Linked DNA regions of Mus musculus. The protein of the gene in region 1 purifies or fractionates together with the protein of each later gene. This does not show direct contact. Links are inferred from orthologs where the notes say so. Each region holds a gene or a part of one and is shown in the gene's direction. Other genes may lie near its edges. The genes, in order: Dcp1a, Edc4, Bag4, Ddx6 and Pnrc1.

Region 1 (3,688 bases):
CATCCTGGGATTATAGGGATGAACTACCACATGCACGTTTTAGTTCATTTTTTGTCACAGAATCTCTAGCCGTCTTGTTTCAGCATAAAGAATAGGTTTGGTTTTTGGCTTTTGGTTTTTTTTTAAACTACTGGGCATTCAGTAATCAGGAAGCTGAACCAGAATTGTTGAAGCTTCAAGGCCAGCCTGGCTTCATAGTAGAGCTGTGAAATAATTGTCACAGTTACATTTGTGATTATATTTTTTTATGTTTACAGTTATGTAAATTTTCCAGTTAGTACTTGAGAATAGTGGGATCTGGAGAATGTAAGACTATGAGGGAATGAGCCTTGTGAATTGATAGGATACTATTGTTGTTACTCCTGTAATTTATAAAGGGATTTGGATGTAGACTCACTGTAGGAGGATCTCTCTGAGTTTAAGGCCAATCCAGTCTACATAGTTCCAGGACAGCCCAAGCAGTGTGGAAAGACCTTGTCTCATAATACCAAACACACACACACACACACACACACACACACACACACACACGCGCGCGCGCGCGCGCTCCAGGTTCAGAATCTCACTCTAAATATAAGGCCATAGCAAAAAGGGATAAAAAATATATTCTTTATGCATGTGCATATGCTAGGTAAGAGTTCTACCACTAAACCACTTCCCCAACTTCTTTTTTTTATTATTATTAAAGTTTTATTTACTTAATTTATATGAGTACACTGTCGCTGTCTTCAGACATACCAAAGAGGGCATCAGATTCCATTACAGATGGCTGTGAGCCACCATGTGGTTGCTGGGAATTGAGCTCAGGACCTCTAGAAGAGCAGCCAGTGCTCTTAACTAAGCTGAGCCATCGCTCCAGCTCCCACACACACAAACACACCTCTAAATTCAGTGTAAATGTCTTCCTTTTTCCTCAGGATTCTGTAATTTGAGGGTGTAGGGGAGTCATGACTGAGTACTGAGTGGTTAAAGTTGCCTTAGGTGTTTAGGATCTGCAGTGCAGTGCTAACGTTCTATCAAGAACAATAAAAGTGAGCCACTTAGAGTTTGGTCCTCTCGCACTGGCATCATTTGCCAGTGTGTTACTAATGTGGACACTCGGTGTGGGTAACTTTGTTGTGTATAGCCCCAACCTTAGCCACATTCACCAGGGGAAACAGAGTAAATGCTAAAACTGTTCTCCGTACGGAACTTTGTCACTCTACAGACTTTGCTAGAAGGTGGTCTGAGCCCTGCTGCACCTCAGGTTGCTCCAGGCTGTTTTCATCCGCTGTCCTTGCTTCTCCATATGTGCACATGATGGAAAAGAATCCTAGTTACATTGGTTTCTGCGCCTCTCTTTGATTTTGTCACTTGCTTTTGTTTTTCAGTCTGCTCCGTCTGGTCATAAACATCTGACAGTAGAAGAGTTATTTGGAACCTCCTTGCCAAAGGAACAACCAACAGCTATGGGTCTAGAGTCAGAGGACACAGACAAGCTGCTGGGAGATGCATCACAGAAAGAGCCCAGCTCATTCCTCCCATTTCCCTTTGAGCAGTCAGGGGGAGCCCCTCAGTCTGAAAACCTGGGTATCCATTCTGCCGCTCACCACACAGTTCAGCCTGAAGTCAGCACCCCAGTGCTGATCACTCCCGCCTCCATTGCACAGTCGGGTGACAAACATCCCCCAAGCTACACACTCCCACTGAGCCCTGTCCTCAGCCCCACTCTGCCAGCTGAAGCTCCTACCACACAAGTTCCCCACTTACCTCGGAATAGCACCATGATACAAGCAGTAAAGACCACACCCAGGCAGAAATCTCCACTCCTGAACCAGCCAGTCCCTGAGCTAAGCCACAGCAGTCTGGTTGCTAGCCAGAGCCCCTTCAGAGCCCCGGTGAGCCTAGCAAACCCAGCTGGCACAGCCCTCCCAAGCGTTGATCTGCTTCAGAAACTCAGGTTGACCCCACAGCATGACCAAATACAAGCACAGCCGCTTGGAAAAGGAACCATGGCGCCCAGCTTTTCTTCGGCAGCTGGCCAACTGGCCACCCCTGAGAGCTTCATAGAGCCTTCTTCTAAGACAGCAGCAGCAAGAGCAGCAGTCTCAGCCTCCCTGAGCAACATGGTGCTTGCTCCAACCCTCCAGGTAAGACAGGAGCAGGAGGGCATAGAGAAACAAGACTACAGAGGCCTCAGCTTTAAGTGACATGAGACTTTGTGTGTGTGTGTGTGTGTGTGTGTGTGTGTGTGTGTGTGTGTGTGTGTGTGTGTGTGTATTTTGTGCAGCAGCCATACCCAACTAAAGATGATGTGTGTGTCTGTCTTGTCTGTCTATCTGTCTGTCTCCATGGTCTATAACTAAATTTGCTCTGTGGGGTGAGGGGGCCCTGTCTGTCTATCTGTGGTCTGTAACTGATCTTGGCATGTAGACTTGTACGCAGGTGTATATGCATGCGTGGGTTTCCAGGTTCTGTAGTAACTCAGATTTGCTGTGTAAACAGACCTGGAGGAATTTGCATTGGAAGGTGACTACATTGTAGTTAAGGAGTGTGAGTTATATTTCAGACCTTAGGAAGGCATTGAAAGGTTCTGAACGAAGAGTGACTTGTTGGTAATGTCAGAAACAGGAATCTGGCCACCTGTTCCAGGACAAGCTGTCAATCACTTTGCCTGAGCAGTAGGGGCCTGGGTTGAGCACTGTGGACAAGGAGATTTTTAAAGTATCCGGTCAGGGAGGCTTCGTGGTCGATTGGTAGAGAGGGTAAAGGAGAGGTTTGCCCTTCAATAGCAAGTTTACCAGGGAGAAAACGAGCAGAGTGTGATGATCACATGGCCACAGCTGGAAGGGAGTGGGGTGTGCTGCTCTGTGACTGCTGCCTGCCTGTCAGTATTTGGGTCTGACACAAGAAGGAAGGAATGATGTGCGCGCGGGCAGGGCCTGTGCTGTGTGTAGGTGTCACGGGCCAGGAGTGCTCTCGCTCCTCTTCCTTTGCTCTGATGGACTGACTGCAGGAAGAAACATATGAAGGGAGTTTGTTTGGGTTTCTGGTTGTGAGGGAAAGGGTTGCCCCACCTCTCAGTTGATCTGGAAGCTCAGGTAATGATCTGCACCTGCCTTCTCCATACTCAGCACTAGAAGACAGTGACGCTCCTGCATGCTGCTTGGCAGAAACCACTTACATATGTGTAAATACTCATTTACATGGCAATAGCTAATTTTAAGATCTTCTTGCCTGATATAGTGGCAAATGCCTTTAGTCTCAGTAGGCAATCTGTGATTTCAAGTCTAGCCTGGTCTACATAGCAAGCTCCAGGCTAGCCAGGACTATCCTTTCTCAAAACAAAAAAACCCTGGTCTGCATGGAGTTGTCTTGTGTTTACTGGGCAGCATTAATTCTTTCCCAAAGACCATGAGCATTCACACCTATAAAAACATAGTGAAGAAAGCTGAGGCAGAGGGGTCTCAAGTTAGAGACCAGCCTGAACAACCCAGGTCTCAAAACCAAACAACAAAAGGACCTTCTCTGTCTCTTACAGTATACTTAGGATGAAGGCTGTTTAGTGCCACTAACCAGACTCAGAGAACCTTTGAAGAGCTTGGGGCTGCGGACATAGTAGTCGAGCCACTTGCCTGTTTTATGCGAGGTCCTGAGTTCAGCTTTCAGTGCTGCAGGAGCAAATTCTTAATCATTTATATTGTACACA
Region 2 (3,688 bases), on another chromosome or scaffold:
TACTTGGTCTGCTTCTTGGCTTCCTAGCTTCTCCCCAGATATCTTCAGCTCAGTGAGTGTGCCTCCCAGCCTCAAAGTTTGTTTGGACCTCTCAGCAGAGTATTTGATTCTTAGTGATGTGCAACGAAAGGTAGGCTGCTATGGTGGTACGCTGGAAAGAGCTGGTGTTGCTGGGCAGGGCAGGGCTATGTGACATAGCCTCCGTTGAGTTAGGAGTGTGTTGCTCATGCAGGTCCTCTATGTGATGGAGCTGCTGCAGAACCAGGACGAGGGCCGCGCGTGCTTTAGTTCTATCTCTGAGTTCCTGCTCACCCACCCTGTGCTGAGCTTTGGCATCCAGGTTGTCAGTCGCTGCCGGCTACGGCACACTGAGGTCCTGCCTGCTGAGGAGGAGAATGACAGTCTGGGGACCGGTGAGTTGCCCAGGGGCAGGATTATACGTTGGTATGTGGGAAGTGTCCAGGCACAGAGCAGGCCAAGGCCTTAATGATCCACACTGTCCTTTCAGAGAGTTCCCATGGAGCTGGAGCCTTGGAATCCGCAGCTGGTGTGCTTATCAAGCTCTTTTGTGTGCACACTAAGTGAGTGTCAGGCAGGCCTGCCATGTCCTGTCTATGTTCCCCCTACCCTATGGCCCTGGCCTTTTTGAGTATTCTCTTCTCCCCTTTGCTGCTCTTTAGGGCACTACAAGATGTGCAGATCCGCTTCCAGCCACAGCTGAACCCTGATGTGGTGGCCCCACTCTCTACCCACACTGCCCACGAGGACTTCAGTGAGTAAGGGAACAGGAGGGAGACAGGTTCCACTGCTGTGGCTTGGAGACCTGACTAGGCAGCTTTCCCAGCAGCATTTGGAGAGTCTCGACCTGAACTAGGCTCCGAGGGGCTAGCTTCAGCTGCTCATGGTTCCCAGCCTGACCTGCGGCGCATTGTGGAACTGCCTGCTCCTGCAGACTTCCTCAGTCTGAGCAGTGAGACCAAGCCCAAGTTGATGACACCTGATGCTTTCATGACACCTACTGCCTCCCTGCAGCAGGTACTTCCTTCCTCAGTGGAGAGAGCTCTGGTAGTGTCCCATTAGCTGACCTTCGTGCTTATTCTCTGGATTTTCCCAGATCTCTGCATCCCCTAGTAGTAGCAGCAGCAGTAGCAGCAGCAGCAGTAGCAGCAGCAGCAGCAGCAGCAGCTCTCTAACAGCTGTGTCTGCTGTGAGCAGCTCCTCAGCCATGGACCCTTCCTTGCCCAGGTAAGATAAAAATCAGAATTGGGTCTAGTGCCAGTCTGAGATGGATTACAATTGCTAATGCTTTACCTTTCTGCCAGTAGACCACCTGAGGAGCTGACCTTGAGCCCCAAGCTGCAGCTAGATGGCAGCCTGACGCTAAACAGCAGCAGCAGCAGCCTGCAGGCAAGCCCTCGAAGCCTCCTTCCGGGCCTGCTCCCAGGCCCAGCTGACAAGTTGATTTCCAAGGGACCTGGTCAGGTGTGTTGGGGGGTGGGGGGTGGGGGGAGGAAGGGAGGAAGGGGAGGGTATGTGTGTGGGGATATGCATGAGTATAAAGTACTGGGTAGCAGCAGGTGTAGGTCGATGGGAAAGATTGGAGCACTCTATTCCTGCATATTTTTCTGCTGACCCTGATGGGCCTTGGAAGTGTGACATTTCCCCAAAGGTTAGAGCGGCCTCTCATTGCCATCTCTCGTGAGCTGTGGCCCTACTTTCCAACTGCATCTCTCTTTCCTGCTACATTATGGCCGTCACTGCAGATCCCAGTGACTTGTTTTTGCGCCCCTTAGCCCCTGTTACTTAAGCCTTTGTCTTTGCCCTTCTCAGGTATCCACTGCTGCCTCTGCACTGTCCTTGGATTTGCAGGAAGTGGAGCCATTAGGGCTACCCCAGGCCTCCCCAAGTCGAACCCGTTCTCCTGATGTGATCTCCTCAGCATCCACTGCCCTGTCCCAGGACATTCCTGAAATCGCATCTGAGGCCCTGTCCCGTGGCTTTGGCTCCTCTGTTCCTGAGGGCCTCATTGAGCCAGACAGCATGGCCTCAGCTGCCTCAGCACTACACCTACTCTCTCCTCGGCCCAGGCAAGGCCCTGAGCTTGGCTCTCAGCTGGGTCTGGATGGAGGCCCTGGAGATGGGGATAGGCATAGTACCCCTTCCCTGCTGGAAGCAGCCCTGACCCAGGAAGTTGCAACCCCTGACAGTCAAGTCTGGCCTACGGCACCTGACATTACTCGTGAGACCTGTAGCACACTGACAGAAAGGTGAGAAGCTTAGAAGGGGAAAATTATGCTTGGGGTGGGAGGGACATTAGGATTAGCCACTCCTGAGCCAGTGTATTTCCTTAGCCCCAGGAATGGCCTCCAGGAAAAGCACAAAAGTCTGGCTTTCCACAGGCCACCTTATCACTTGCTGCAGCAACGTGACAGTCAGGACACAAGTGCTGAGCAAAGGTGAGCGCCACCTGGGTCTATGTGCTCCTCTGTGAAGGAGAGCCATTAGTAGGGGGACAGCAGGTGAGCAGGCTCTTCCCCTTCCACAGTGACCATGATGATGAGGTTGCCAGCCTTGCCTCTGCCTCAGGAGGTTTTGGCAGCAAAATTCCTACTCCACGGCTGCCTTCCAAGGATTGGAAGACGAAGGGATCCCCTCGGACGTCACCTAAGCTCAAGAGAAAAAGCAAGAAGGATGATGGGTAGGAGGATAGGAGGCTTCTGGGACCAGGGCCAGGGGTGGTCTCCTAAGCTGCCTGATGTGACCTGCAATGCTTTTTTGCCTATGTAGGGATTCAGCTGTGGGATCCCGGCTCACAGAGCACCAGGTATGTAAGGGAGGACCTTCTACCTATGGGACCCCATCCCAAGGTGGGGGGGGGACACACTTTGAGCTATTTCTTTTTTGGGGCGGGAGGGGGTGGAGATAGACAGGATAGACATTGTGTAAGTTGTCAGTGCTTCTGGCAGGTGGCAGAGCCCCCTGAAGACTGGCCAGCACTAATTTGGCAGCAGCAAAGAGAGCTGGCAGAGCTATGGCACAACCAAGAAGAACTGCTACAGCGTCTCTGTGCCCAGCTTGAAGGTCTTCAGAGTACTGTCACAGACCATGTAGAGCGTGCCCTGGAGACGCGGCATGAGCAGGAGCGTATCCTTGGGGTAGTGGCACAGCATGGTAGTAAGATGCGGTAGCATTCTTGCCTAGGAAAGGCGTAGGTCCTGTTGTAGGCCTGTTCCTTAGCTCCACCACAGAACGGCGGCTGGAACGGGCACTGGCTGAGGGGCAGCAACGGGGTGGGCAGCTGCAGGAGCAGCTGACACAGCAGCTATCCCAGGCATTGTCTTCAGCTGTGGCTGGGCGGCTAGAGCGCAGCGTAAGGGATGAAATCAAGAAAACGGTTCCTCCATGTGAGTTTTCCATGAGCTTTCTTTCAAGTGGGCTGGGTGAGTGTAGGGCTTTTTCAAACTTCTGGTTCATCCACCTGCCTCTCCTAGGTGTCTCCAGAAGTCTGGAGCCTGTTGCAGGTCAACTAAGCAACTCAGTGGCTACCAAGCTTACAGCTGTGGAAGGCAGCATGAAAGAGAATATCTCTAAGCTACTCAAGTCCAAGGTGATGTAGGATCCAGGTTGGGGGAAGTGTAGCTAGACAGGCCAGGTTGGGCTCAGGCTTTCAACTTGACCCCTCTCTATA
Region 3 (3,688 bases), on another chromosome or scaffold:
TAAGTCACTTATTCTTGTTATCTTAATTTTTCATAATAATCCTACAAGGTAAATTTTGGCTCTTCATTTTCCTGTTAGAGAAACGGAAGCTAAGAGTAACTAAATATAAAGCTATTAGAGAGTGTTTCTGACTTTTTCCCCCTTTCTATTATATAATGATATTCCTTTTTCCTCTACCCTGTCTCCAAGGATTCCTAGAGTTGCCTCCTGTGGGCACAAGCTCTCTGCTTAGACATGCAGTTATGAATTAAATGTAAAAAGATGTTTGGGGGACCCATTACTTCTCACTTTGTCATCACCATGTAGTCTTCCATTGATGCCCCTTAATTTATATAGCCTGAGTTCAGTACCTGGAGTGTGATTATAGCAAATAGAGAAAGTACCTCATAGACTGCTTACATAGCTTATATGGTCATCGGTTACTGACATCTTACTTCCTAAAGTTCTCAAGGTTGAACACTAAGGCGTTTTTAGCCCTTCAACCCATTTATCTTTTCCTTGCCACTACCTTTTTTTCCCCCCACCCCCAGAGCCTGAATTCTTATGCAAATGGAGCATATGGACCGCCTTACCCTCCTGGCCCTGGAGCAAGTACTGCCTCCTACTCTGGGGCTTACTATGTACCTGGCTATACACAGAGCAATTACTCCACGGAAGTTCCAAACACCTACCGTTCACCTGGTAACAGCCCAACTCCAATGTCTCGTTGGATGTATTCCCAGCAGGACTGTCCAACAGAAGCACCTCCTCTGAGGGGACAGGTGCCAGGATATCCTGCTTCACAGGTAAGCAGTTTCCCGTGAGGGAAAAAAAATGCCTCTATTTCCTGAATTTTAAACAGTGGAAAGTTACCCATTTACACTGGTTCTGTTTTAAGAAAACAACTAGAGCCATACACGACATGTACATCTTTAACCCCAGTTCTCATGAGGCAGAGAGAGGCAGGTGAAGCCCTTGAGTTCATGACCATTCAGGACTACGTAATGTGACCTTGTCTCAAAAACAAAACAAAACAAAATGGCTGGAGAGATGGCTCAGCCGTTCAGAGCACTGACTGCTCTCTTCCAGAGGTCCTGAGTTCAATTCCCAGCAACCACATGGTGGCTCACAACCATCTGTAATTGGGCTCAATGCCCTCTTCTGGTGTGTCTGAAGACAGCAACAATGCTATTCTCATACATAAAATAAATAAATCTTTTAAAAAAAAAAAAAGAACAAAAAAGGAAGTACTGTAGATGTTAAAAAATTGTTTGACAAGTGAAGGAAGGGGTTTCTTTTATATTGATGCCTAAATGGATGTGGCTGAAGAGACCTTAAAATATCATAATTCCTTTAAATCCTAATATATTTATTATTTGTGTGCATGATGGGAGTTGTAAGGGATGGCACACATGTACCACAGCGCATGTGTAGCGGACAGAGGCCAGCTTTGTGGAGCAGGTTTTCACTTTCTGTGGGTTCCAGGGATCAAACTCCGGTCCCCAGACTTGCATAACAAGTGCCTTTACACACTGAGCCATCTCTCCAGCCCATAATTTATATATTTTTGTCTGTTTCTTTTTTGTCTGTTTCTTCTTTGAGATCAGGTGTTAGTATGTCACCCTGGGCACCTGGAACTCCCTCTACAGACCTAGCTGGCCTCAAATAATCACAGCAAATTGCCTATTTCTCTCCCCTGAGTGTCGGGACTAGATACACATGGTACCACACCTGGCACCTCTTTAGTTTTCTCCTATTTTCATTCTTTTTAATTCCATGTGTACTCGTGACTGTGTGCTCATGTCCATGAGTGCAGGTACTCAGGCCACAGGTGTGAGCACTCCTGGAACTAGAGTGATGGATTCCGGAGCTACCTCATACGGAATCTAGGATTTCAACTTGGATCCTCTAGAAGAGCAGTGTGTGCTCTAACCACTGAGACGTTTCTCCAGCCCCCATACAATTTTTGTAATAGATCTTTAGTTGTTGCTTGAAGCTTTCCCTAACTTAGTCTTTCCTAATGCTTCTAGGTGTATATTAATATGCTGTGAGTATACCAAACCTATTCCTGTTTGTTTTGAGAACACTTCTACTGTCTTATAATGTATGGATTCATTTATCTGTAGTGCTTTTGGAAAATACATGCTTCACCCAGTGAATTTGAAGTCTAACTCATGAGTCTTTTAACAACTCTGTTCTTTATTTTGGGAGCCAGGTTTTCTCAGGTGTGGAGAACTTTTGGTAACTGATTAATGAGTCACTAGCAGGTCAGGACCTGTCTGTGCTGTTTTCATTACGTATAAGCAGTGACCTGCCAGCATAGCAGCATATTTGTTTTCCCAATCTAGAACCCTGGAATGACCTTGCCCCATTATCCTTATGGAGATGGCAACCGCGCTGTGCCGCAGTCAGGAGGGACTGGACGACCACAAGACGATGCCTGGGCTTCCAGCGCTTATGGGATGGGAGCCCGTTACCCCTGGCCTTCAGCTGCACCCTCAGCCCCCTCGGCTGGGAGCCTGTACATGACGGAAAGTGCTTCACCGTGGCCAGGCAACAGTTCTCCTCAGCCGCCTCCTTCACCCCCACCTCAGCAGCCTAAGGTAGGAGGCCTTCCGAGTGCTATTCCTTTGATCTCTAGGCAATTAAGAGGACACAAGACGACACTTCTTTCTCTGTATTAGTCTGTTAGATGCAAAACAGTTGGTGGTTTCTACTAAGCATGGTGTTAGCTTCCTTTTCTCTTACAGACAGTATTGTTTGGGGATTTTTTTTAAGGTTCTTATCTGTTGTTGTAATTTTTCATTATTTTTTATGTGTACGGATATCCTGGCTGCCTGTATGTCTATGGGCCACATATGTGCTTGTTGCCCTTGGAGGCTTATCCCCTGGAACTGGAGTTACAGACAGTTATGAGCTGCCTTGTAACTTCTGAGAATCAAATTTGGGTCCTCAGGAGAAGCCATCTCTCCAGGACCATATCTTTTTTAAAAAGACAGGAAAATGCTTCTTTTCTGCCGGAACTATCTGAATATTAAATAGAATCAAGGGATGTATTTCACAATCTCATGTTATGCAGCGAGAGGAAAATCGATGTGAATAGCACGTGCTGGCTTGGGTGCTGGGCTTTACATAAGCCATAGACACACACTCTGCTTTTGCCTATGCTCTGAAGGCTTTCACTGTCTAAGGGAAACTAATGATTAAGTCACCGAGGAATTGTGAGGTCGTAAAATTGGGAAGTGTTCACAGAGTGACTTGCATTGAGGTAGATTCCAACCATCGTATTTAGGAATTGTGTGCCTCCTGCTTCAAAGGGCTCTCCCTTTGTCGTCTAACAGTGTTGGTCTCTGATGGTTCTGTGGAAGTCTTTTCAGTTCTTTCCTGGTTGGTAAACGATGCACACTGACATATCTGATGTTGATAGCTTCCCACTAAGACAGCTTCTGTCTCCTTTCTGTCTTCCCATTTCAAGGACCCCTCGTACTCCTACAACCCATCGGGTCAAGGCCTGAGCCGGCACAGCTTTCCCTGCAGCGTCCATCAGTATGAATCTCCGGGAGCAGTGAACAATGACAACTCAGACCTTTTGGATTCTCAAGTCCAGTATAGTGCTGAGCCTCAGTTATATGGTAATGCCAGCAGCGAGCATCCCAGCAACCAAGTTCCGAGTAATAATCTCCCAGAAGAGTGTTTCTCTTCAGATGAG
Region 4 (4,346 bases), on another chromosome or scaffold:
AGCATCACCATCATCATAATACATTAAGAGTGCTGGGTGTGGTGGCACAAATGACAACTGGCTATTATTCTACTCTGTGCTTGCTATGGCAAGCATGCACTGGAGTTTGGTAGACTTGGGCTCTCAAGTAAAAAACAAAAAACAAAAAACAGGAGAGCGCAGCGGTTTAAAAGGGGGGGGGGGGCTTCAGACTTATTCTGATTGGATGTTGCTAGCTAAGAAGCAGGAGGGCTGGAAGCAGGGAGTCATTGGTTTAGAGAGCATATTTGGCTTTCTCTGATTGGTCTCAAGTTGGAAGCAGCGGTAAAAATATGGAAGCTGCAAGTCAGTGACTAAGTACTGACTGTCCAGGATTCCCTAACGTCGGTGTTTAGTAAGGAATCGCACTGTCCCAAAGGGTTTAACCACTGTCAGTATTTCCAGCCCTCCAGCAGCGTAAGACGCGAGTTTTTAACTTTCTCCGGCCCAGCTCGATTTTTACTTAACAAACAAAAAAGTTTGTTTTGCTTGGAACAAGACGACTTTCTAGGTTAAGGATAAGACATCAGGATCCGAGAATCATAGAAACAAACGCACAAATATCTGCAGTAAGGGTCAGGCAGGAGAATCTACGGGTCTCCCATTTGCACAGCGAGCCCTCACTGGTAGAGGCGATCCGCCCTTCTTTCTAGAAGAGTGCCACTGCGGGCAGGAGCAAAGGGTCACCTCGCCTGCACTCCGGGTTTGATAGCCCACGACCGAGGGCGCGCTCCCGGCTCACTGCTTCCCCCGGTGCCCCTTCCCGCTCCCTCTCAGACAGCATCGGCCCCAAAGGCCCCACTTTTCTGCACGCCCTGGCCTCGCAGCGTCCTCCCGGCCATCCCAGCTCAGCTTCCGGACCCGCGCAGGCTGCCCTCCGAGTGTGTCCGAGGTCAGCAGTCAGCAGACGTCCCCTCCGGCCCGGGACCCGTCAGCCCAGCTCCGAAGGGACGAACGAAGGCAAGGGCGACAGTCCTCGGCCACCGCCATTCATTTCCCCAGCGGTCTCGTCAGCTCTGCAGGCAAGCCCTCTCGCCCGTCCGTCCATCCGTCCGTCCCTCCGTCCCGAAAGCAACCCCGTGTTTCCCTGAGCTCGGCCCCGTCAAAGGCCGGTCTCTCCCGACCCTCGCCCGCCGCGCCCAGGAAGCCGTGACGCCGCGGCGGCTGCAGCTGCAGCGGCCGAGCTCTCGCCATCTTGTGTGGAGGAGGAGGAGCCGCGGCCGCCGCCATGCGGAGCGGCTGGGAAGGAGGGAGGGAGGCGACGGCGGCGGGCGAGGGAGGGGGCAGAGCAGCAGAGTCAGCTCAGCCCGGCGGCGGCGACATCGGGGGCGCCGGCACAGCGGGCGCCGGCCGAGGTAGTGCGGGGTGGCGGCGGCGGCGGCGGCGGCGAGCTGCGCGGGCAGCGAGCGTCGCGGCGGGGGCGGGGCGGGGCGGCGGGCGTCGCGGCGAGGGGCCGGGTGGGGGCGGGCGGAGGTTTCCGAGGAGGAAGGAGCCGCCGCCATTTTGGGAGCTTCGAGTCAACAATAAAGGACCGAGGGTGCGGAGCGGGAGTGGCCTCGGTGGTAGGACTCGGGCCCGAGCCGCGGGGCGTGGGGTGAGGCGGCGTGGTCGGGGTCGGCAGGATCCTGAGGGTATCAGGGAGCCCCCTTCGGGCAGAAGCCCGAGGCCCAGGCCTGGCCCGGGAGGACGGGCGGGTGGCCGCTGAGAAGAGCGGGGGCGGCGGAGAGGAGTGGAACCGAGGAATGTGGCGTGTGCGGGGTATGGAGGAGGAGCGGCGGGGAGCTCTGGACGAGCGGTGCGGTAGACGGGAGCGGGGACGGAACACCGGCCGGGACACCCGAGTGAGGTTGGGAGTGCGAGGCAGGGCAGCCCTGCGGGGGGTGGCAGGGCTGTGCTGGCCGGGGACTCGGCTGGGAGAGGAGCCGCGGCTGCTCGCTTGCAAGTAGGCCTTGCAGGTTGGTGGGGACAGAGGGTTTGGGGGAGACTCGGCGGCGTAAGAGGGGAGGAGAGGCGGTCCAGTTTCGGGGTTCTCTTCCGGGCCTTCTGAGGGGGGGGAGTCCCTATTGTTTCCCACTCGCAGAGCTGGTTCCGGCTCTTGTGGCGCAGATAGGATTGCAGGGCAGAAACCCTTTTGCTTTTTGATCCGAGGGAGCTGGGTTTGAAGCGAGGGAAGTTGGGGGAGGGGGCGAGGAATTATTGCCTTACGGTTACCGGACTCCGATTCTTGGCTTAGGGTTTTCCCTTCGCCATAGCCCCCCTTTACCTTCGTAAGAACCCCAATCACTCCTACTTCCTGTTGAGGCGTATAGAAATCGCCCTGTATTTGCAAACAAAAGCCCTTGTTGGAGCTTATGGGACTGTTTTAGGTGTGAAAACTGTCAATTGCTAACCACGGTCTGGGCCCTGCTGTAATTAACTCTGCCAGGGGCTCCTCCCAACTAAGTCTTATGTTCCTTCGTGGTTTTGTTTTAGGAATATAACTTGCAAATCTAAATTGGGAAGGGGTAGGACGAAAAATTTCCCACTGAGCCATAAAGCTGCAGTGCAGGTATCCGTTTCTGGAGGGAGCAGTTATCGAAGTCTCTGGGTTTAAGGCGCTAGGAGGTTTTACTGTGCTTGATTGACAGTACTGATGGTGTCGGTTAGGATTCAGAGGTTGCCCCCTTCATCCTCTTAGTGCTGTACAAACAGTAAGCCTTCCTGTTTGACGGACCTGATACTGTTGATCGTATGCTGTCAATACAGAAAATACCTATTGAGATAACAAATAAACAATTTAATGTGATAGAAGCATTTGTGAGCAAGTTGATGTATTTAACTTGAGATATCTTTTGACTTCTAAATTATGGATTTGGGATACTTGGTTTGAGGCAAAGATAACCAGTACTAATTAAGCTAGTGTTTCGGGTGCCAGTGAAATGTAAGGGGGTTACAAAATAAAACTGAAGGAGTTGGACTTATACTTACAAGTCCTTAGTAATATTTTATTTACCAAATTTTGAGAATTCCATTTGGGGAACAATTTAAAGTAGAGGAGGTTGACCAACTCTTTCTTAAAATAACTGTTAATTAGACGCTGTATTCTAGGTGATTTGGGAGAATTTTATTAAACCTGTAAGTTTAACTCTCTGGTATTTCTTTCCCCCTTAACTACAGGACTCCCCGCCCCCACCTTTGAACTTTATTTTGAAAAGTGTTGTATTAAAAGGCAGCACTAACAGCTTTCAACTTTTTTTTTGAAAAGTCTTCTCGTTTTAAGGTTTTTGGTTTCTGTCAGAAATAGAAAAAAAGTTAATAACTTGTCTTGGTCAAATCTAGATGTACATTAAGTAAATTGAGTGATATTTCAAGTCTTAATGCAATTAAACGTAATGACTTTTAAAGGTGGCAGGACTTCGAATTCATCAGGGGCGATTGGAGAACAGATTGTTATTTGAGAGTGAATTTGAATTTTATCAATAGTATCTTTCTGCCTCACTTTCTCTAAGTTTCTTTGATCTTGGAATTTTAAATGTTTGAGGTTAGATTTTTTTTTTTTTTTTTTTTTTTTTTTGTAGATTGGGTTTTTTAAGGCAGTTCTTCGATGTGTCTTTCTTATCTCAAGTAGTGATTTGGCCTGAGTGTGGCTGTTAGTGGTTCTCTAGAAGGTGAGCATTCTAAAGGAGCTCTTTAAAAGGGAACAATTTTCCCCCAACTTTGTTGTCTGCTAATTTAATTTTTTCTTTGTTTCAGATTGAAGTGAGTGAATTCAGATATAATTCAAGCTTGTTAGAGGGCTTTAAAAAAAAAAGTTGATTCGGTGCATGAAAGCAAGTTAACTACTGCTGCTCACCGTTGAGAGACTTACAGGTGCTTGCCTGAACTGCAATAAAGGACTCATATTATTGAGCAGGACTTATTTATCTCTTCATTTTGGAGAGCCTCATAAACTGTTATTACAGTTTCTCTACTGACTTTGAAAAGTTTGAAGTTTGGAAGAGACACCTGTGCAGCTAACAAAGCATGAGCACGGCCAGAACAGAGAACCCTGTTATCATGGGTCTGTCCAGTCAGAACGGCCAGCTGAGGGGCCCTGTGAAGGCCAGTGCTGGCCCTGGAGGAGGGGGCACACAGCCACAGCCACAGCTGAACCAGTTGAAGAACACCAGCACAATCAATAATGGCACTCCACAGCAAGCCCAGAGCATGGCCGCCACTATTAAGTAAGTGGAAGAAGACCTTGGGGACCCGCAGTTTCTGGTTATTTCTGTTGTTGACTACTTTATGCCTTACATTAACTGTTTTGATTGCAGTTGGAGGATAGATCATTTTGTCATGGCCCAGTAGGT
Region 5 (4,440 bases), on another chromosome or scaffold:
GACATCATTTACAAGAAGGGCTGAAATCGCCCGGCTTGGTAGCGCATGCCTTTAATCCCAGCACTTGGGAGGCAGAGGCAGGCGGATTTTTGAGTTTGAGGCCAGCCTGGTCTACAAAGTGAGTTCCAGGACAGCCAGGGCTATACAGAGAAACCCTGTCTCAAAAAAAAAAAAAAAAAAAAAAGGTCTGAACTGAAATCAGGAATGGATATTCCTGACTTTCACCATCATCTGTTCACTATCAAAGAATCAATGTACTGGGAGTGGCTGTGTAGAAAGAAGTAAGATGTCAGGGCTCCCTTCTGGGATCTCTAGCCTGAGAACAAAGACATTCCCTACTGCTGGCCAAAGACAATGGAACTATTCCCTGCCTCTAACCTCCTAGCTCATTCCCATCTTCTGTTCTCCTCACAGTGTGTGTGTGTCTATGTGTGTGTGTGTGTGTGTGTGTGTGTGTAGTGGAAGCAGGTTTGCGGCAGAATGTGTTTGGAAGTCAGAGGGCCACTTTGTGGTTTTGGCTGTCTTTCATTTTTAGGTGGCTTACAGGGATGGGACTCAGGCTGCTAGGCTTATATAGCAAGCATTTTAATTACTCACTGATCCATCTAGATGCCCTGCTCTTTTTATTATGAGGCAGAGTCTCATTAAATTCCCTACACTAGAAATTTCCCATCCTCTACTTCTGCCTCTCCAGGAGCTAGTGTTACAGGTCTTGACCTTGCCATACCTAGACCAGAGTTCAGATTCTTCTGTTAATTTTTTAATGATTTGTGTCTAATTCTTTAGTCTCTTGTATGCCTTACTGTAAAATGATTAAAAAAAAATTATTGGACAATGGTGACATGGGCCTTTAATCCCAGCACTAGGGAGGCAGAGACTGGTGTATCTCTGTGTTCGAGGCCAGCCTGGTCTACAGATCGAGTACAGAGTACAGCCTGGGCTACACAAAGAGTAACGCCATCTCGAAGAAAGAAAAAAGAGGAAACTAAATAAATAAAGCCCCAATCATTAAAGAAGTATGTTTCAAACAAGATGAATTACAGAAATTGGTTCTGAGGTCCTATTTGGTAACTGGTGTCTACAGTTCTTTTCTGTATTAAACTGTGAGTAGAGAATTCTGTTAACCCAGTTAGCTAGCAACTGTAGCAGAGCTGTTTTCTCTGGGTGGGACAAAGGCCAATTGGTTGGCAGCAGCATCAAGTTTCAGGGGCAATGTGAGATCTCAAGAGACTCCCAGAGATCTTTAGCTATAAAGGCAGTAAAAAATTAAAGGCCCATTTTCGGCATTATAGAGTACTTCTGATGAGCTGAAGAATCCTTCAGTAAACCCTTTTTTATTTTCACCACCAGGGTTAATTGGCAGCGTCGGAAAACCGAATGAGAAACCACATAGCCAAATTTCACTGTAGGTTAAATGGAGGCAGATCTTCACCAGTGCTGTAAATCCTTAGTGAAATAAATCCTTAGTGTTCTCCGAAATCTCTTAAAATTTTTATGTAGGGCTGAAATCGAAAACCTACAAAGCAGTCCTTTCTGGAGGTCAGAAGCTTCCTAGTTCCTCCACCGCCTCTCTCCTCCTCCTCCCCTGCCCCACCCCCAGGCTACCCCAAAGGATCGCTGCCAGGGAGGTGAGGCAGAAGTCGAACTTCATTGTTCACGGGACACTCTCGGTAAGAGCCCGTTGGGCGCGCCTGCGCAACGTGCGCTCTTTGTGAAGGGCTGCAGCAGGCTGCTTGTTTGTGTCTTGCCTCGGGGCGCGGAGGCGGGACCGAGGGAGTGGCCTGGCAGGCGCACGCGGATTGGGCCGCCGCAGGGAGGTGGGCGGGCACGGGGCGGGGCCTCGGGTAACAACACTGGCCGCGGTGGCCAGCGCTATTTGTTGCTGCGCCGCCTCGCCCGAGTCATGGTCCTTGCTCCGAACCTTCCAGCAGCAGCCTCCGCCGCCGCCCCGTGACTCCTGCTCCCCGCCTTTCTGCCGAGTCCCCGCGCCATGACCGTCGTCTCCGTCCCACAGCGAGATCTCGCTCTGAGCGGCCGCTTAGCGCCGCTCGGGTTCCTCGGGGCCCTCCCGATGGTGAACCCGGCCCCGCCGCCCTTGCCGCGCCTTCCGGACCCGCGCGCGCTGCCACCCACCCTCTTCCTGCCGCACTTCCTCGGGGGGGACGGGCCGTGCCTGGCGCCCGCGCCTCGCACCACCGCGCCGTCCGGCTGCACCTTGGCCCCGGCGGCTGCCCCGCGGGCGGCGCCCAAGAAGCGGCGGAAGAAAAAGGTGCGGGCCAGCCCGGCCGGGCAGCTGCCCAGCCGCTTCCACCAGTTCCAGCAGCACCGGCCGAGCCTGGAGGGTGGTCGCAGCCCGGCGCCGGGGCCAATCGTCGCGCAGGAGGAGCGAGGTCTGGCGGCCACTGCCCTGCTCCACAGACAGCCCCCACTCGCGAAGGAGGTAGGGCCGGTGGGGGCGGGGCGGCTGTTTACTCGGGAGGGAAGTTTCCGTGACGCTCGCTCGAGTGGTGGGGCGGAAGCGGGAGGGGGGCTGGGCGGCTGCGCTGGCGCCGCCCATTGGCTCCGGAGCCAGCCAATGGGAGCGGCGGCTACGGCCCAGCAACAGCCTGCATTTAGAAGCTTGGCGGCGCTCCAGGGGGTTTCGGCGTTCGGGGCTCAGGGACCTGCGGAGGGCTGACGTCAGCCCGCTACGTGCAGCGCTCTGGGGCGCTCATGAAGGCGGTGCTGGGTGGGGGCGGAGGCGCAGGCGCAGGCGCGGTGCCCAGTGGGGCACCGGGCGGGCGGGACCCACGCACAGCCAGATCCGCTGAGTCGGACTGCTGTTGGGAAGTTGGCAGGAGTCTCCGTCTGATGCCCGACGCGAAGGTGTCCCGGGCCCTGTGCAGGCCGGCACGAGCTTGCCTCGCTGGAGGGGGCTTCTAAGCAGCGCCCTGAATGAGTTTTTAGAAGTTATAAAATGGACTCCTCGGTTAACGGATCTGGATAACTGGGATACAGTTTTGTCGAGGCTAAAGGATTTGAGAGTTGTCTTAGCATGAAAAACAAAAGCCGAAACCACCTTTTTCATACAGCTTGAAGAATTCTTTGTTGGTAGTGACACGAAAAGCAGCCATTGTACTGAAATTGTACTTGATCAAGATGTGCCCATGAAGAGGAATAAGAATTTAGATCCTGAAGTGGTTTTTTGTTTGGTTTGGTTTGGTTTTTAGTTTTTCAGACAGGCACTTGCATTAGCTTAGAACTCACTGTACATTGGAGAAGATTCTATTTTTCAGAGGCAGTTTTGAACGGGAAAGACAGTATGACCTTGTACTTGGGTCTCAGTTTTTGTGTCCTTACTATATCATGCAAGCATCAGAGGGGCAGTGATCTAAGGGTGTTTTCATTTGGTGCACATTTCTGTAGATTATGCTGGGAAAGTTACTACAGTGCAAAAGTTTGTGGCCTGTTAGGATTCGGGCTGTAGCCCCGGCTGGCCTGGAATTTACCTTTCTGCTTCTGCCTTACAGACCTTTTGGCTGAGCTTAGAAGGTCGTCCATGAAGTTGCTGAATCTGAAAGGCAGACGGGAACTTTTTTTCTAACCTATAGAGGACACTTGTTCCTTACTGTTGTTTACAGTTAGAAAAGATGGACATTGAGTTTTTTTTAAGTGATATTTTTCTGAATGTAAGTTTGATATATGCTATAATTAACAGCATCAATTCAATAGCAACATAAGAGGCGTGCACATTTGAACATCCAGTAGTAAGCACATCCCACACATAACGTATTTATTTAAAACCGGATTAAATTCTAGAGGACTTTAAAAGCAAGTTTGTAAAATATATGTAAAGATAACTTTTATCTTGAAAATTGCTCACTTTTGTGTTCCTTTGTAGGTTTTAAAATCAAAGATGGGAAAATCGGAGAAAATTGCCCTTCCCCACAGCCAGCTTGTGCATGGTATACACTTGTGTGAACAACCAAAGATAAACAGACAGAAAAGCAAATACAACTTGCCACTAACCAAGATCACCTCTGCAAAAAGGAATGAAAGTGACTTTTGGCAGGATTCTGCTTCCTCCGATCGAATGCAGAAGCAGGAAAAAAAGTCTTTTAAAAATACTGAGAACATTAAAAGTAACCATTTGAAGAAATCAGCATTTCTAACAGAAGTGAGCCAAAAGGAAAATTACGCCGGAGCAAAGTTCAGTGACCCACCTTCCCCTAGTGTCCTCCCAAAGCCTCCGAGTCACTGGATGGGAAGTACCGCCGAGAACCCCAGCCAGAGCCGGGAGCTGATGGCAGTGCACTTGAAAACGCTCCTCAAGGTGCAGACCTAGGCTTGCGTCTGCAGTGTGTGGTAAACATCGATTTCCCCAGACCTTTGGACTCGAAAGGAAACGGATACAGCAGTGAAAACTTGCCCTGTTGCAGCATCCGACACAATGAGCTTAAG

What was found.
Region 2: the proteins of Dcp1a (region 1) and Edc4 purify together in Homo sapiens (co-immunoprecipitation; 9 studies listed by BioGRID and IntAct, with this or other methods). This does not show direct contact. The link is inferred for Mus musculus from reciprocal best matches to the Homo sapiens genes DCP1A and EDC4.
Region 3: the proteins of Dcp1a (region 1) and Bag4 purify together in Homo sapiens (affinity purification with mass spectrometry; 4 studies listed by BioGRID and IntAct, counting the BioPlex papers as one, with this or other methods). This does not show direct contact. The link is inferred for Mus musculus from reciprocal best matches to the Homo sapiens genes DCP1A and BAG4.
Region 4: the proteins of Dcp1a (region 1) and Ddx6 purify together in Homo sapiens (affinity purification with mass spectrometry; 8 studies listed by BioGRID and IntAct, counting the BioPlex papers as one, with this or other methods). This does not show direct contact. The link is inferred for Mus musculus from reciprocal best matches to the Homo sapiens genes DCP1A and DDX6.
Region 5: the proteins of Dcp1a (region 1) and Pnrc1 purify together in Homo sapiens (affinity purification with mass spectrometry; 3 studies listed by BioGRID and IntAct, with this or other methods). This does not show direct contact. The link is inferred for Mus musculus from reciprocal best matches to the Homo sapiens genes DCP1A and PNRC1.

Annotation. Positions count from the first base shown.
Region 1 is NC_000080.6:30,517,549-30,521,236, forward strand, and holds part of Dcp1a (mRNA-decapping enzyme 1A), read left to right. Parts: intron 1-1,370; coding exon 1,371-2,129; intron 2,130-3,688. UniProt on the Homo sapiens protein: Necessary for the degradation of mRNAs, both in normal mRNA turnover and in nonsense-mediated mRNA decay. Removes the 7-methyl guanine cap structure from mRNA molecules, yielding a 5'-phosphorylated mRNA fragment and 7m-GDP.
Region 2 is NC_000074.6:105,887,274-105,890,961, forward strand, and holds part of Edc4 (enhancer of mRNA-decapping protein 4), read left to right. Parts: intron 1-27; coding exon 28-130; intron 131-213; coding exon of another isoform or gene 214-232; coding exon 233-413; intron 414-508; coding exon 509-581; intron 582-680; coding exon 681-772; intron 773-844; coding exon of another isoform or gene 845-847; coding exon 848-1,035; intron 1,036-1,114; coding exon 1,115-1,245; intron 1,246-1,322; coding exon of another isoform or gene 1,323-1,325; coding exon 1,326-1,482; intron 1,483-1,830; coding exon 1,831-2,267; intron 2,268-2,351; coding exon 2,352-2,456; intron 2,457-2,545; coding exon 2,546-2,698; intron 2,699-2,787; coding exon 2,788-2,824; intron 2,825-2,966; coding exon 2,967-3,144; intron 3,145-3,248; coding exon 3,249-3,404; intron 3,405-3,491; coding exon 3,492-3,607; intron 3,608-3,688. UniProt on the Homo sapiens protein: In the process of mRNA degradation, seems to play a role in mRNA decapping. Component of a complex containing DCP2 and DCP1A which functions in decapping of ARE-containing mRNAs. Promotes complex formation between DCP1A and DCP2.
Region 3 is NC_000074.6:25,768,176-25,771,863, reverse strand, and holds part of Bag4 (BAG family molecular chaperone regulator 4), read left to right. Parts: intron 1-530; coding exon 531-785; intron 786-2,161; exon of another isoform or gene 2,162-2,327; coding exon 2,328-2,582; exon of another isoform or gene 2,583-3,454; coding exon 3,455-3,688. UniProt on the Homo sapiens protein: Inhibits the chaperone activity of HSP70/HSC70 by promoting substrate release. Prevents constitutive TNFRSF1A signaling. Negative regulator of PRKN translocation to damaged mitochondria.
Region 4 is NC_000075.6:44,603,373-44,607,718, forward strand, and holds the start of Ddx6 (probable ATP-dependent RNA helicase DDX6), read left to right. Parts: upstream 1-1,519; 5' UTR 1,520-1,580; exon of another isoform or gene 1,581-1,864; intron 1,865-3,561; exon of another isoform or gene 3,562-3,665; intron 3,666-3,750; 5' UTR 3,751-4,020; coding exon 4,021-4,220; intron 4,221-4,346.
Region 5 is NC_000070.6:33,245,948-33,250,387, reverse strand, and holds the start of Pnrc1 (proline-rich nuclear receptor coactivator 1), read left to right. Parts: upstream 1-1,600; 5' UTR 1,601-1,990; coding exon 1,991-2,440; intron 2,441-3,880; coding exon 3,881-4,324; 3' UTR 4,325-4,440. UniProt on the Homo sapiens protein: Nuclear receptor coactivator. May play a role in signal transduction.